Rattus norvegicus: one gene and its partner. The protein of the gene in region 1 interacts with the protein of each later gene in a biochemical or structural test. Links are inferred from orthologs where the notes say so. Each region holds a gene or a part of one and is shown on either strand. Other genes may lie near its edges.

Region 1 (7,808 bases):
ATCATTTGGTCTAAGTCTAAGCCCAGTGCTTGGTACCTTATATGGGTATTGCTGCTTTCAAAGCTGGAGCTGCTCTTCCAAACACTGGAGTTCTCGGCTCCTTTTCGGCATGATGTAAGTCCCACAAGTATTGAGTTGTCTTAGAGGTTCTGGGGCGGGGGTTCAGATAAGAGCCTACATTTAAATACATTAGAAAACATTAGGTAGAAGCAAATATTTAAGAAATGCACTTGAAGGTCTCACTTGATGAACTAGAAGGGGGAAAATATCCTGGTTTCAAAGGTTTGAGTTTTGGCTTCTCTTTAATCTTCAAAGCAGCAACAGCTTGAAATACTCAAAGCCAAGGCCTGAAAGAACAGGCTGCACCCACCCTAGTCATTCTTCCAGCGGTATTTCACCAAGGGTCCCTGCCTCCCAGTGCTCAGTACCACACTTGGCTTCAACAAGTTTGTCTGAGGAGAAGGAATATTCAGAAAGGACATGGATATTTTTGGTGCTAAGGCATGTTAGAGAGACTCTGGGCTTACTGGAACACACGGGCAGGTCATTAGGAATAATTCTGGGACCTCATTCCTCATTTCAAGTACCTACCCCATCCTCCTAAGCCTCAAACACATACACATCTTGTTCTTGTTTCCAGCCACTTCTAATGTCTGCTACCTCCTACCTTACGCGTCCTTTTACATCGCCACAGATCCTTTGGAGATAAGGGGAGGAAACAAACAGATGCAGTGGGCAACGAACATGCGTAAACATTTCACGAAGGGATTTCTTTAATAAAGAGATTTCCCCATGGGATAGGCCCCTGATTGTTTGATACTTTTTAATTGGTACCAATATGTTCTCTATATGTTTTGTGTCAACCTATTTGTAAATGTATAGATAACACAAATGTATAGTTAACTTTGAAGATGCCAACACACACCACACACACACACACACACACACACACACACACACACACACACACACAGAAAAAAAATGCAAATCCTGCCCACGAATCTGGTAGCTGCTGTGGCCAGTCTGTCCATCACACAGAGAAGGATTGCGGCAGTGAATACAGTTCTCAGTAGCCAGAAAAGTCCAGGATGTGGCAGGTTTTGAGGTGGTTAGAAAAAGAAAGACTAAAACCAACCAATCAAAAGAAAACCCCTCAAGACCACAACACCAAATAATTAACATTTGGGGACTTTCCTCCTAATCTTTTTTAAAATCTAAATATTTAAAAATGGTTGGGTTCTTGATTTTACAGTGGCACGTACGGGGTTTTCTACAGATCTTTGTTTGTTTGCTTTTTGGAGACAGAGTCTCTCTAATAGTCCAGGTTGTCCTGGAACTCACTATGTAGGCCTGGCTAGCTTTGAACTCAGAAAGATCTGCCAGCCTCTGTCTTCCGAGCGCTGGGATTAAAGGCATGCACCACTACGCCTGGTTTGTAAAGTGTTTTGTTTGTTTGTTTTTTTGTTTTGTTTTGTTTTTTATCTTTTACCCACGCAACTAATTCTCTACATTATTAAAAAACATTCTCCTATATTTTTCCAACAACATAATTTCATCAACGCCGTTTCCACCCTGAACAACACTGTTTCTAAGTAAACCACTCACAAACGTCTACAAGTAGAAATAACTGGAGAGAGGCAAGCTTAGAGAGAGGCATCAGTTTCTCCATGATGACTAGCTAGCGTTAGATGAGTGGTTTCCCTTTTTTTTCCACTCCCAAACCTCTGGCATTTGACTAAGTTTTTCTGCTTTCACTCCCTTACGGGTGTCCACTCCTTTCTGGCGACTGTGCTTTTTCTTTCGATGTTGTATGGATGAACAAAGGGTTGTTTGCGCGGTAGATTTCCCCTTTGAAGCGTGTAGGGCAGTTCAAGAAGTCCAAGACACTTTTTAAAAGCCTGGATCTTTTACAGTGTCTTATCTGACTCTCCCTGACTTGCTGATTCTGAACAGTTCCTTTCAACAGAGTGTAATAGTTAAAGGGAACGTGGAAGTGGGCTGTCGGAGATCGTTCTCTATCACTAGTCAAAGTCTATAACAGGTAAAAGTTCTGTCCTCTGAACACCGGTTCAGAGCTACTTAAATGTCTTCGAGGTGTGTCGGAGGGTGAGGAAGAGAATGTGCGTGCAACCAGAACACTGAGTCCTCTAAGTTGTGGAGGAAAAGTCCCAAATACGCGCAAACAGTTGGCGAGGGTGGAGAAGCGGTCTCGGGTAAGCCACTGCCCGGGGAGGGGGTGGGGGGTGGTCCCCCTTTTCCAGCAGGAGCGCATGGGCCACCCTCTTGGGTCTGGCAGGCATTTGTGTCCGAGGGATTTGTAATGCTCGCCATCTCTCGGGGTCCCGCAGGAGCTGCGGATTGGAGGGGGACCCTGCTTGCCAGGCAACTTTTGTGGCTCATCGCTCCTCTGTCCTTTCTCCTACTCTTGTGGGATGTTCAAGGCAGACATCGTAAAGTTTCTGCATCCCAACTTCTCTCCCTAGCTCCCCGGCGCGGTGCCTTCGCGCCCGGGTTCCACGCACAGGTCCCGGGGTCTGGGAACTTGGCGAGGCTGCTTCTCACGCACGAACCCGGGACCCCGCTGCAGGCGCCGCCTCGGCCCCGCGCGCGCCCCCGCCCCCCTCCCCAGCTCCGCAGCCGAGAGCCCGGATGTTGGATTCCATCCCTGCGCCTGGTCCTTCATTTCCATAAAAGGGCAGCGCTCCGCAGGGCCGAGATTGCGGCCGCCGCCTCCCCCCGCGGCGCTCCCCCGAGGCGCGCGCCGCCCGGGCCCCACCAGAGCGCGCGCGGCCCCCGCGGGAGCGCGGCGGGAGGAGAGCCGGAGAGGAGGGGGCGGAGGCCGGCTGCGGGCGGTACTGCGGGGCGGGGGCCGGGGCCGGGGCGGGGAGAGGGGGTGGGGCGGGGGCCGCGGCGCCGGGACTCCATTAGCCGCAGCGGGAGCCTTCGCTTCCCTCAGAAGCAGCGACGCGGGCGCCGCCGGCCTCGCCTGTTGCCGCGGGAGCCGGGCGGGAGGAGCACGGTGAGGGGCGCAGCGGGAGAACAGAGCGCGGGGAGGACGCGGCGGAGCGGAGCGGAGCGCGGGCCAGCGCAGCGCGGTCACCCGGGCCGGGTGGGGAGGCGCGGAGCGGGCCGGGCGCAGCGGCGGCAGGTGAAGGCGCCCGAGTCCGCTAGGCGGGTGCGGCGGGCGGAGGCCGCGGTCTGGGTGCCGAGGCGCCCGCAACCGGGCCCTCGGGGGTGCGCGCTTAGCCGCGGCTCCTCCGCCTTCTCCCTTGCTGCGGCCGGCGCCGTGGACTCGGTGGGGTTTGTCTTCCTTTGGGGGAGTGACGCTGACGAGAGCCATTTCCTCCGCGCTCGCAGGAAGGAGCCATGGCTCTGGACGGGATAAGGATGCCAGATGGCTGCTACGCGGACGGGACGTGGGAACTGAGCGTCCATGTCACCGACCTGAACCGTGATGTCACCCTCAGAGTGACCGGGGAGGTGCACATCGGAGGGGTGATGCTGAAGTTGGTGGAAAAACTCGGTGAGTAGCACCCCTGATGCCTCCAATGAAGACTTCCCAGAATGAGAGGAGGGGGTGGGGAGGAAAGACGGCGGGGGGAGGGGTGGGATTGGGAGATCCTAGCACCCGGCGTGTGCTGCGCTTAAAATGCGAAATTTGTTGCTATCGGGGCGCATAGACTCGCTCCCCTCCGCGTCCTGTTTGTTATTTTGATTTTTACATAAGGTAGTGATTCGAGCCTACTAAATAGTTAACTGCGGATTCCCGGGACGACTTGTTGAAAGCAACGAGGAGGAGAGTATGCAGGTGAAAGTTGTGAATGTGGTATTACGGGTCTGTAGGTGTTAACGCCTCATACCCTCATTGAACCTGGGTGTGGATGACGCTGTTTATTGGGGAGAGTGTGCACTGGCGTCGGTCGGTATGAAGTTTCTGTAGCTGTACTACGTGATGGAGTGCCCTGAAATGTTCCACTCTGAGCTCTTGCGAGGGGTGGGGCAGTGCTTCACAAACTTGGTATCTGTATTCTGAGTTGGAAGTGAGCTATTTCGAGCATTAAGAAGCCAATGAAAGAACTTCGTTTTTTTGGTGGTTCTTTTTTTCTTTTTTTTTTTCTTTTCAAGCAGACACTAAACTGAGTTGAAGTTGACAGTATTTATTTGAGTACACATGGATACTGGATTGATTCTGCCTCGATTGTAAGCCAGGGCTGTCACCCAGGATATTTGAGAAAATGGCACTACCCATTTTGTGATAAGGCAAACCGTTTTCACCTGGCAGAAGGACCGGACTAGATAAGATGATGATTTTATCGGGAGAGCTTTTATCTGAGGAACAGCTTTCAGACCTGCAAAGTGCTTGCTGCTGTGGGATAATGAAGTGATAAGGTGTTTTGTGTGGGGATGTCTTTTTGGCGGGGTTAGTTGGTTTTAATCAGTATTCATGCTTCAGGCCATCCTGGAAAAGTAAGGAATATTCGTCTCTCAGAAAATATATTTCTTATCAAGGAGGAAGGGGAACTGCCTATTTACCATATAAACTTAAATGAAATAGCCTGATACAATTTGGGAATTAGGCTGATTTCATTTATTAGGTGAATCTACTTAATGCCCCTGCAGGGAATTTAATTATTGGAGGTCTAAAGAGGAGCTCGTTGTACCGCCTCTCAGTAGCAGGGTCCTCCCAGTACTGTCCGTTGTCGATGCCAGAGACAGCCCAGAAAGAGCCACCAACCAAGTAACTGTCGGTTCACTGCTTTTTTTTTTTTTTTTTTTTTTTTTTTTAATGTGATTCAAGTTAATCACTGTTGGCAAAATACTTACCAACCTTTTTTGTCCAGTTCCACTTGGGGATGAAAACTACCCAATATGGTTCCTGTTTGACAAGGACCCGGTAGTTTGTATCAGAGTGCCTTATATGTGATTAGTGGACCTTGCTGATACATTGCCGTTTTTAATTATTTGATTGGTTAATTTTTTGGTTTTGTTATCCGAGACTATAGTCTCACTATGTAGCTCTGGCTGGCTTTGAACCCGCCGTGTAGACCAGCCTGCTCTGCTTCTGAGTTGTGGCATTTAAAGGGGTGCCCTCCCCATGCCCAGCTCTACACGGTAATTTTTTTTTTTTTTTAAGTAATGCAATAAAAGATCTGTCAAAGGTGACTTAGACGAGTTGGAATTCTCAAAAAGCCAGGCTTTAATGAATAAATAATGATTTCTACTATATTTACATCACTTTGACTGACTGTGTTATGAAATCACAATTATAAATAGAATTGTTGGGGGATGAGCTGTCTGTAGACAGGATTGATACTTCTGAGTAACTATCTTAATCATGCCGATGTTAATTAATTACATGGAACGAGGGGGACACAGGGATGCCTCTGTGTGTAGGAATTTTGTACCTGTCCTCAGTTGGACCAGTTCTCTCGAGTTCTAAGTTCCAAATGGGGGAGGCATTGCAGACTTTTGACAAGTACACAAGAGTGGGATACCATTTAAAATGTCCACAAATCAGACCAGGCAAATTAGAAAGGAATTTTTGCAGTTTTTCGGGTTTGTCTTAACATTGGGATGGGCTGCCTTCTGAAGCCCTGCGTGTTATCAGCAAAGGTATTAAAAGACCAACTCGATGACTCTTGCCAACAGTGGCTGACTAGATCAAAGCAGCCTACAGGAGTCTAGGTAAGAGGTGGAGGTCTTTTTAGGGATGAGATGGTACGGTGTCTGGTGTCTTCAGATTGCACAGCTGTACTGGGCATGTAGCAGAAGCAGGCTTACGGGGCCATGGAACGGTTAGTGGCAGTATACTGCAGGCAGCCTTAACTGTGTATGATGACCCTGTCAGCCTCACTGGAGGGTAGATGATTAGCAAAGGCTTTACAATTCACGGCACCCCATGATTCCCTGGAGTTAATAGACCCCAGGTTGACCCTCCCTTTCATGCCTTGAGTTGTGGAAGCTCTGGAAAGGGGGTACCTTTGCTGTCATTAGGTCCTCAGAGATGCAGGTGAGCAGTGAAGGGAGCAGCCATTGTGTACAGCAGGTTTTACTGTACAGCTGGTGTCCCTCCTGGAGCAGACCAAGTCGGGAGCATTGATGATGCTTTCTTGGTGTGTGTCAGCGGTTATCCTTGTAGTTGGTTTCAGTCTTTTCTGAAGAACACTTGCATTCCAGGGAATGTAGTTATCTAAACCTGATTCTCAGATTTATTACTTTAATTCCCAACCTCTGAAAAGACTCTTACGTCTTAGCATGGACCACATTCGTCATTCTGCTTTAGACATTAAAAGAAAACAAGAAGTATATGCCGTGAATGCGATAATGGGCTTTGGGGGTTTATAGCTTGATGAAACTTTTATGATTGGCCTGTGTAGGCTGATCGTAGACAGTCTCATTATTGTACATCTCCATGTATGTGAAGAACTGCTTTTTTTTTATCCTTCTTTAAATGCTATATAGAACACTTTAAATAAGGGCTTTAAATATTACTATAGTCTTTTTTATTAAAATAAAATGTTAACGGCCACTGTGGTGGCACATACTTTTAATCCCAGCATCCAGGAAGCAGAGACAGGTGGATCTCTTGAGTTTGAGGCCAGTCTGGTCTACAGAGCAAATTCCAGGACAACCAAGCTACAGAGAAAAATTCAGTTTCAAAAAACCCAAAAACAAATAAGTTAAAAAAAAAAGAAAATTTAGATGTGTGTAGTTTAATTTTCTTTTAACTTGGGTATAAATGGTACTGTTCTATAAGGATAATTTCATACACGTATATGCCATGCATTGAACATGTGTTAGTTTTGTTTTGAAGCAGCATCTCATGTATCCTGAGCTGGCCTGGAACTCACTATGTAGCTCAGGCTGGCCCTGAAAATACTGGGATCCATGCATAGCATGTCTGGTGTGTATAGTTTTTGTTGTTGTTGTTTTTGAGGTTTTCTTGTTTGTCTGTTTGTTTTTAAGAGAAAAAACTTATATCAAGGATAAGGATTGTAAAAATAAGATGAAAAAAGATACAATTTAAAACAATTATATCTAAAAATAAATTGTAAAAGAAAGCTTAATTGGCTGGGATGCCTCTGGAGATCACTGGAAAGCAATTAGACCTGTGAGAGTCAGGGATTCATCAGCATTGAGGATTCTGGGTACCAAAGGGGATGCTTAATTGGTGTTCTGTTTGGTTTTTCCTTTTTCTCTAGGTACTCTGAGCTTTTGTCCACTAAGTTTTAGAGTCACTTTTAGATGACTTTCTAACAACTCGGTTTGCGTCTCTCTAGAAATACTCACTTTCAGTGGTGAGTAAGGAATGCGTGATAGTGCGGAGCTTAATGAATGGAAGTTTCAGCAGCTAGCTCTGTGAGCTGGGAGAGAGGGAGGGATCCACCGCCTATGACCGATTTCTTCCAGCTCTGAGTCTGAAGTTAAATCACATCCCCATGATACAGATTTAAAGGGAAGTCGTGGGATTCAGTTACGATAAAGAAGAAATGAGTGGAGCCGACTTAAAATCTGAAAATTGCCCTGCCTGGTACTGCACACCCAGCACTTGGAATGGCACAGGCAAATGGGTCTTTGAGTAAGTTCCAGGTTGGCCAAGTCTACAGAATGAGACCTGGTCTCAAAACGGGGGTGGGGGGGCAAGGATGGGGGGGAGGAGTGAGGATCCAGTTAGGTTTTGAAGTTAGCATGTATGATCTAAACTAAACTAAGATATTGTGAAAGGTATTCACACACCACTCACTGTGATTTTTAAGCATTTATTGTACCTCCCGGAAGTGCAAACAGCCAGGTTTGAACTCCAGGAA
Region 2 (7,852 bases), on another chromosome or scaffold:
AGGCAGACTTCTTGGGGACCCTCACCTTGTAGATGACCTTAAAGCCAAGTTTGGTCACAGCCCCCAAAAAGGTCCGAATATCCTCAAAGCGGCTGCTGACTTCCGCTACTTTGAGAAGACCCCTGGGAAAAGGAGGAAGTCATGTGTAAAGGTGTAGACTCATGCATGCACAGCAAAATCATCTGTGTTCTAGGGACTCACCCTGGCTTTAGCACTCGATTCGCCTCCTCAAGGAAGTCCCTGATGTTGGTTCCCATTAGTGAAAGGCAAAACACAGCCACATCCACAGACTCATCCTCCAGAGGTACCTGATGAAGAAGAATGTTAATTGGAGTACACAGTGTTGGAAGAGGAAATCCAGCACCAAAATGCTTGAACTGGATAATCTGATGAGAAGACCAGGAAGAAGGGTAAGATCAGATACACAAAAGGGCTTACCTGGGCCATGTCACACACAGTGACCCTGGGGTCCAGAGCAGCCAAATCAAAACAGTGCACGGGGTTCCGAACACTTGAAGCTAGGCGGCAATCTCCACAGCCAAAGTCAGCTACCACTAAGGATGCAGGCCTAGGAGTGGAAGGGAGGGTCGGGTCACTTATTGGTCTGGTCAAAGTCTTGATCACCACCACCACCCCTCTCGTAGTCTATAGCCCGCCCCCCTATTACTTCTGACGGAGATCTTTGGCAATGCGGTCCACGGGGTGCAGTGGCCACTTCTTTACTTGTCTCTGAAAGCCACGGTGATAAAGGAGAAAAGCCTCAGGGTCTTCCTGGAATAGGCATTGGGCAGCACTGCTGGGCCCTGAGTACAGCTGTTCATTAAGGTAGCGAAATCGGGCCCCATCCAGGCGTTGTGTCATGCGTGCTCGCAGGGCTCCAGCTCTAGTCTCTTGACTGTCTGACTTTGGAGCAGGAGGCACCTCAGTCTCCTCTATGGAAGCCTTGAGAGGCACCTGGTCCTGTGTCTCAAGTGGCCGAAATTTGTTCTTGTGTCTCCGCTTATTTTTCTGCCGGTTCCGCCACTGCTTGCGGCTCAGGGTGTGTGAGGAGTTAGGTGATGCAGACTCACGGCTTGACTTGGGTGGGTCAAGTGTAGCAGTACTTGTCCTAGAATTGTGAACTGCAGAGAGGGAGATGAGAAGGCATTTGAGGCTTGATCCCCTAAATTCAGAGGCACAGGAAGTCATCCTGGCTACTCCCTTGTCCTTAAGACAGAGTCTATAGCCTCTTACCATCCAGCCCATGGTGTGTGTGTGTGCGTACAAGAGAAAGACAGTGCCATCTACACAGTCAGTTCATACCCCTCCCCCCATTCACATATACTGGTACCTGTTTGGTCAACACTGTTCAGGGACTGGGTTGGGTGTAAATAAGAATATTCCTGGCATTTCCTCTTTCCTTTTTCTTCTCCAGCAGAGATCCCGCCAAGAGGAGGAGCTTGTCTGTGGCATGTTCTTTCCACTTCTTTCCCCTCAGAGTCACTGATAAATGGTGCCTGTTTTTGACACTTCCCTTTTCTTTTCTTCCCTACTTCCTTTGAGACATTGGCAAGTGAGGACCTTTGGAAGTGTCTCTTCTTCCTTCCTACCTCCTCCTCTTCCTCAGAGTCACTGCCAGGTAGGCTGGGGCATTGCTGGGAGAGAGATGCTGCTTCCAGGGCTCGTAATGTAGCCAAGAGATGGCGGCGCTTACGGCCCTGGAGGCAAACAAGGGATAAGAGTGTGTATGTGAGAATGGATGAGGCCTGAAGGCTATGAAAAGAGATGGACTTCAGCTACTGGTGGTCCTTCCCATCCAAAATTAGCACATTTGTTGTGAAGTCAGCCAAGTCCAGAACTTTCAGGCTGCAATTCCAACCTCTGGGAGGCAGGAGGGCAGACAATGTTCCCGTTCTACTTTTCTAAATGGGTAAAGGATTGCCAGTTGATTTCCTTAGAGGAATGTGCTAAGCACCCAAGCAACGGGACCAAGGTAAGACTGTGGCTATCTTTGCCTCTCACTGACAGCATTCTAGGGGCAGCAGAGGTTTTTTTTTTTTTTTTTTTTTTTGTTTGTTTGTTTGTTTTGAAACAGGACGGACAGTGTCACACATGTCTGTCTATTAAAGATATTCCTAACTGCAGTAGAAGGAACAGCCTGTTAGGAAGAAGCTGCACACAGACAAGCAGAAATGGACCACAGAAATGAATAGTACATCCTAGGCTGACTGAAGGTCAGGAACAGCTTAAGGGGATATAGAATTCCTCACATCTGATGAGACTCAAAGGAAAAGGCCTGTTTTCCGTGAAGTTGATTTGGGGTTCAAGTCCTACTGCTGGTCCTCAGCCAGACCCTTACCTTGGAGGTTCTAGATTCCCTGAGCCTCCTTTGAATAGTGATTCTGATACTTTCCCTGTCACCTGCCTTGATTCTGTCTAATATACACTGCAACTAAAAACCCTTTCAAGGTTTCGGATTCAGCTATGTAGTAAATGCTTGTCTACCATGCTGAAGCCCTGGAATCGAACCTCAGTATATAAAGTAATGCCAGGTGAGAGAAAACTTGGAGAAACCACTCCACTGCTAAAACTCCACTGATTTCTACCCTTAGTGTACAGAAAACTTACTAACTTTTCAAGCTCTGCGCTCCAAGCTCCTAATCCCGCATTCCTATTAGGACACACTGTGATACGGTGAGTTACTGCCCGGGAGCTTCTCAACATTTTTCTAAATCTCAGGTACGCTCTTCTCCACACCAACTTCTCACCAATTATGTTTTAAGGTCAGTTTTTTGGAGAGTTTCCGGATCTTCAGATCATGACTAACTCTCTCACCATCCTGATAAACGACAGCATTTCAGGCTCTCCCTCTACCCAACACGACCCCGGGAGGATCGACTTTGCCTCCTTAAAACTCTTCAAATAGCCCGGTGCAGGGCCGCTCACCTTGACTGGCGGGGCAGTCGCCGCCTGAACCTGTGTTGTCACGGGCCGGAGGCCAACGATGGCTGGGGCCGCCTCGACCCATTCGGGCTCCTCAAACATACCGGTGGCCGGCAGGGTTGGAGGAGTCTACGCTCTGGCCCACGTGTAGCGCGCGTCCGAGAATCCTAGGACTGGAGCCAGACCAAACTCGGCCGGAAGCCACCGAGAGAAATTCTGTGGTGGCTAGAGCGGCCCGCGCGGAGCAGAGCACCATCGAGTGTAACCGCTCCTGAGCTAGAGAGGCAGTAGGAGGTCGGAAGGGAGGGACCGCGGCCCGCGCTGGCTGGAGAGGGCCGGGCCGGGCCGGGCCGGGGCGGGGCCGGGCGGCGGGCGCGGCCGGACGGGAGTTCCCCGGAGAAGCCGCCTGCGACCCGAGTCCCGGTGAGTGCGGGTAGTTCCGCGCCCTGTTCCATGCTGGTCTTGCAAACCTGTCTCTGCGATCTCTACAGTAGCTCTGAGCCGGGGCCGCCGGGCAAGGACCCCTTTCCCCTCCCCCGGGTGTTTGCAGCTTTGGGCCCCTCCCCTCCCCCCAAGCCGTGTTCTAGGGCCGTGACTCGGAGCCCGCTGACGCCAACTCAGGAAACTAGCAAAGTCTACCCTATACCTCCAGATCCCCCTGCTCCTCGAGCCCAGGGGTCGTCCGCTGCCCGAAGCCCTTCACAGACAACCACTGTCCCTTTCGCGACGCTCCCCATCCCAGCACTGACACCTCTGTCCTGAGGGAACAGAGATAGAGTCATTCTCTTGTCTCTGTTCTCCCGCAGTTCCCCGAGACTTCCCCAGTCCCGGGGTCTCTGTGCCGGGACGCTGCTATGGACGACATTTTCACTCAGTGCCGGGAGGGCAACGCGGTGGCGGTGCGCTTGTGGCTGGACAACACAGAGAACGACCTAAATCAGGGGTGAGCTGAAGCATTGGCGAGTGAGAGGACTGCTAGAAGTCCGCTCTCCGCTACTTGGGGTGCTCATGTCGGGCGGAGACAGCTAACTTTGTTATCCAGTGTGATGAGGAGTATTAGAAAGCAAAGTCTGTTGATGGAGGAGGGTTTACAGAGAGGAAGCTGTGTCTGGGTTTTTTGTTTTTACTAAGTTTCACAATCGGTTCCCGAGGACTTTGCAGCCTCTGTGAACTCATGTCAAAGGCAGACCAGAGTGCCAGAAAATTGGAATTACATGTGGTTGGAGGATGAGTTTCTGCGCCCTAGAGCATTGGATAGAAGTGGAAAAGGACATTAGAGATCTAAAGTTCTGAAGCTGTGTAGTGATGAGACTACCCATTTGTCAGGTGTCACCGTGGATGCAATTGCCTTAAAGTGATGTTTTGGATACAAGAATTGAGACAGGGTTAGTGGTGAGAGCCCTAAAGTCATAAGAATGAAGTAGTTGAGTTGGTATGGGAAGTGAAGGAGGAAGTCAAAGATGACCTGGGGTTTAGGTTTGGGAACTTGGACACTTGGCAGTTGCCGATGCTCCATTTTGGACTGACTACAGTTTGGTGACACTACAATAACTTGGAAATGCTTGACAGGTTGTTGTTCGTGCAGATTTTAAGTTCGAGAGAGGTCTGATTGGGATACCAAGATACCATAAATTAGCGTTTAAATGATACCTGAAGATTCTATAAGGTGAAAAATAGTACCTCAGAAGAGGAGTAAAATAAAGGCAGAGGTCGAGAAGGCTGGCTGACTGACAGGGAACAACCATCTGAAGGAGAAATAAGAAATGGACTAAGATTAGAGAATGGATGTTTTAATGGAAGAAGAGTGGTTAATTATAGGCCACTGAGAAGTTAAAGAACATAAGTGAGCATTTTAAGTCTTCATTTAGTTTCCATTTAGGATGTATTTGGTCTTTGAATGGTATTGCAGAAAGTAACAGGAAACTGCATTACACTGGGTTCCTTCAAATAAGAACTCCTTGAGGGATTGGGAATGTAGCTCAGTGGTAGAGCATTTACATAGCAAGTGCAAGGCCTTGGGTTTGGTCCTCAGCTCCGGGGGCGGGGGGGGGGGGGGGAATCCTTGCATAAGACCTCATCTATTCCCTATAGATGGCAGGCTTCTGTCAGGGAAAAAAGTGAATGGAAAGTGAGGAAACAGATAATGTGAACACTTTCTACAATGCTGGCTGATATAAGAAAGCAAGAAATGCAGTGTTGGAAGAGTTTAGTAGGTAGTTTTGGTTTGCTTTTGGAGACAGCCTGTCATGTAGTTCAGAATGGCCTCCAGCTCTCCTTCCTCCTGCGTCAGTCAGCCTTCTGAGTGCTGGGATTTCCATTTGTTGCAACTGTATTTGACTATAAGAGGATTGTTTTAGGTTGGAAAGGATCATCTGTCATCCTAGGCCAGGTTTCACCAGCTTCCATTAGGGTGAATACTGTTTCTCTGTTATATTCAAAGTTACTTGTTTCATTTTTTTTTACATTAACTTGTGCGCTCTGTAAACACTAAGCTGTCTGTCCTATTTTGTTGGTAAGAAAATAGAAGTTTAGGCTGTTGTCCAGTGGGAGTGGCATCTGGAAGAATCCTTGTTGTCAAAAGGTGAAGGGTATCATTAGGGAAACCAGAAAGCTTTGGTGGCTTGAAGGGAAAGGGCAGTGCTGGAGGTGGTTAACTCCCTGCAGGCATTCTTCAGATAGAAATCCAGGCCCTCAGGTGACAGTGGGCAAAACATTTGCATTTGTTCTCAAGCTTAAGCTTCCTCTGAGGCCACAGACTTCTGGAAGTTGTTTGGTCAGAATACATGAAGTCTGGGAGAGAAGACTGATAGGATAGCAATGGATATACTCACATCCTCAGAAAGCTTTTGCCGAGTTTGTATTAACTGATGAGGGCAGACTAGAGGGACAATTTTTTTTTTTTTTTTTTGGATCTTTTTTTCGGAGCTGGGCAATTATTTAAAGCTACATATCTCCTTCAACTGTTGGGGGATTCTGGGTGACCAAGCCAGGATCAACTCAAGGCCCCTCCTCCAGCCCCCTCACAGGAAGTGACCACAGCACTAAAGCATCTGGAGGCTGCAGGCCTAGACCACAGACCGCCCCCTGTTCCGCCCCTCAGATCTGCATCCCAGGGCTGGAGGGAATTTCCTTTTATGGCTCCAGGCTGTCAGTTTGACCCAGCCCATACAGTTGTTTTGTTTGTACACTTCTCTTTATAAAATATATGTCCTTAGGGGATGAAAATAAAACTCAGATATATTTTTTATTCAAAAGCTTCAATTTATATTTTCCTCTGTGAATTTTGGTTGGTAAGTAGGAACATCCGGGTTTGTGTGGTTATCTGCCTCTTCAGTAATCAAAAGCATGTTTGTTGTTGTACCCCTTCAAAATATTTTAATTCCATTCCATTTTTAGATGTCAGCTTCAATAACAGAGCCAAAAGTAAGCCTGTTTCCTCTCCTAAGTTGTATAGCCTGTCTTCTCCAGTATGCCTTTGTAACTTTACAGCAAGGAGATGCACAAAAGCAGTCAAAGGATGATAGGTGTTACTAAAGATGCATGAGCTGGAGATGAAGCCTAGTGGTATAGCATGTGCCAAGCATACGAGGTCCTGGGTGTGCTTCCTAGCACTGTCAGATGGGAAGACAAGAAGGTAGGGAACCCAGAGGACCCCAGAAGAGTACTGTCTACCTAATGAAATAGAACTGCTAGGAAAGGAGTTGTGGTTAAAGTGATAAACCTTAGAGCTGTTGGGACATCTAGGTGATTGTTGGGTGTAAAGCTCAAGGGAAAATCTGAACTGAACTTTAGGAATTGCCAACACAAGTAGAAATTAAGTCTTAAAGAGGCAAGCCTTCTTAGTGGCTACAGAATTTCTTTTCCCCGATGAATCAAAGCTTTGTCCTTCCCAACACCAGCTTAGTGTCTATGTCCTTTTCTCAAAGGGATGATCATGGCTTCTCCCCTTTGCACTGGGCCTGCCGAGAAGGCCGATCTGCAGTGGTTGAAATGCTGATCATGCGGGGAGCACGGATCAATGTGATGAATCGTGGGGATGATACCCCCCTGCACTTGGCAGCTAGTCACGGACACCGTGACATTGTACAGAAGGTACATGCAAATCCTTTACCATCCACATCTCACACACAATATGAAGCCAGTAACAGGCACTGTCATGTGGAGAATGTGTGCTATTCTTTCTTTCTTCGTGCCTGGACACAAGTATCTCACAGGAACTGACTGCCCTTTTCTTTTCTTGGCCATGGGACGCAGCTGTTGCAATACAAGGCTGACATCAATGCAGTGAATGAACATGGGAATGTGCCCCTTCACTATGCATGTTTCTGGGGCCAAGACCAGGTGGCAGAGGTAAGTACTCAGACCCCAGGTCCTATGGTGAGTGGGAAGCAAACTGGGCATGGAACCATCAGTGCACCTGTCAGTCCCACTGTGGGACAGTTACAGAACTGTCGTTGCGTCCATGTGTTCATGCTTGTTTGTGACTGGCCTGACAATTTTCTTTTCAGGACCTAGTAGCTAACGGGGCTCTTGTGAGCATCTGTAACAAGTATGGAGAGATGCCTGTGGACAAAGCCAAGGCACCCCTTCGAGAGCTTCTCCGAGGTTCATTATCTACTCCTAGCTTGTCTCTTGTCCCACCTTGCATCTTCTCTCTCCATAGCACAATTAAAGCCAAGACCATTCTTTTTCTCTAGAACGGGCAGAGAAGATGGGCCAGAATCTTAATCGTATTCCATACAAGGACACATTCTGGAAGGGGACCACTCGCACAAGGCCCCGTGAGTCACTACTGTGGGGGGAAGGGCTGCAACACAAGATTCCTGGGTTATTGGTGTCATATTAAGGTGAAGCTGGGTACCTGACCTGCTCATATTCTCAGGAAATGGGACCCTGAACAAACACTCTGGTATTGACTTCAAACAGCTCA

Evidence for each region. The genes of interacting proteins can lie anywhere in the genome.
Region 2: the proteins of Fermt2 (region 1) and Ilk form a complex in vitro, tested with the Homo sapiens proteins (2 studies listed by BioGRID). The link is inferred for Rattus norvegicus from reciprocal best matches to the Homo sapiens genes FERMT2 and ILK.

The regions. Positions count from the first base shown.
Region 1 is NC_086033.1:21,226,577-21,234,384, reverse strand, and holds the start of Fermt2 (fermitin family homolog 2), read left to right. Parts: upstream 1-2,934; 5' UTR 2,935-3,019; intron 3,020-3,357; coding exon of another isoform or gene 3,358-3,366; coding exon 3,367-3,523; intron 3,524-7,808. UniProt on the Homo sapiens protein: Scaffolding protein that enhances integrin activation mediated by TLN1 and/or TLN2, but activates integrins only weakly by itself. Binds to membranes enriched in phosphoinositides.
Region 2 is NC_086019.1:169,497,391-169,505,242, forward strand, and holds the start of Ilk (integrin-linked protein kinase), read left to right. Parts: upstream 1-3,330; 5' UTR 3,331-3,345; exon of another isoform or gene 3,346-3,436; intron 3,437-3,728; 5' UTR 3,729-3,776; coding exon 3,777-3,865; intron 3,866-6,848; coding exon 6,849-7,014; intron 7,015-7,176; coding exon 7,177-7,272; intron 7,273-7,430; coding exon 7,431-7,527; intron 7,528-7,619; coding exon 7,620-7,703; intron 7,704-7,804; coding exon 7,805-7,852. Other genes in the region: Rrp8 (ribosomal RNA-processing protein 8), read right to left, coding at 1-122, 202-308, 439-568, 668-1,121, 1,331-1,697, 2,926-3,024. UniProt on the Homo sapiens protein: Scaffold protein which mediates protein-protein interactions during a range of cellular events including focal adhesion assembly, cell adhesion and cell migration.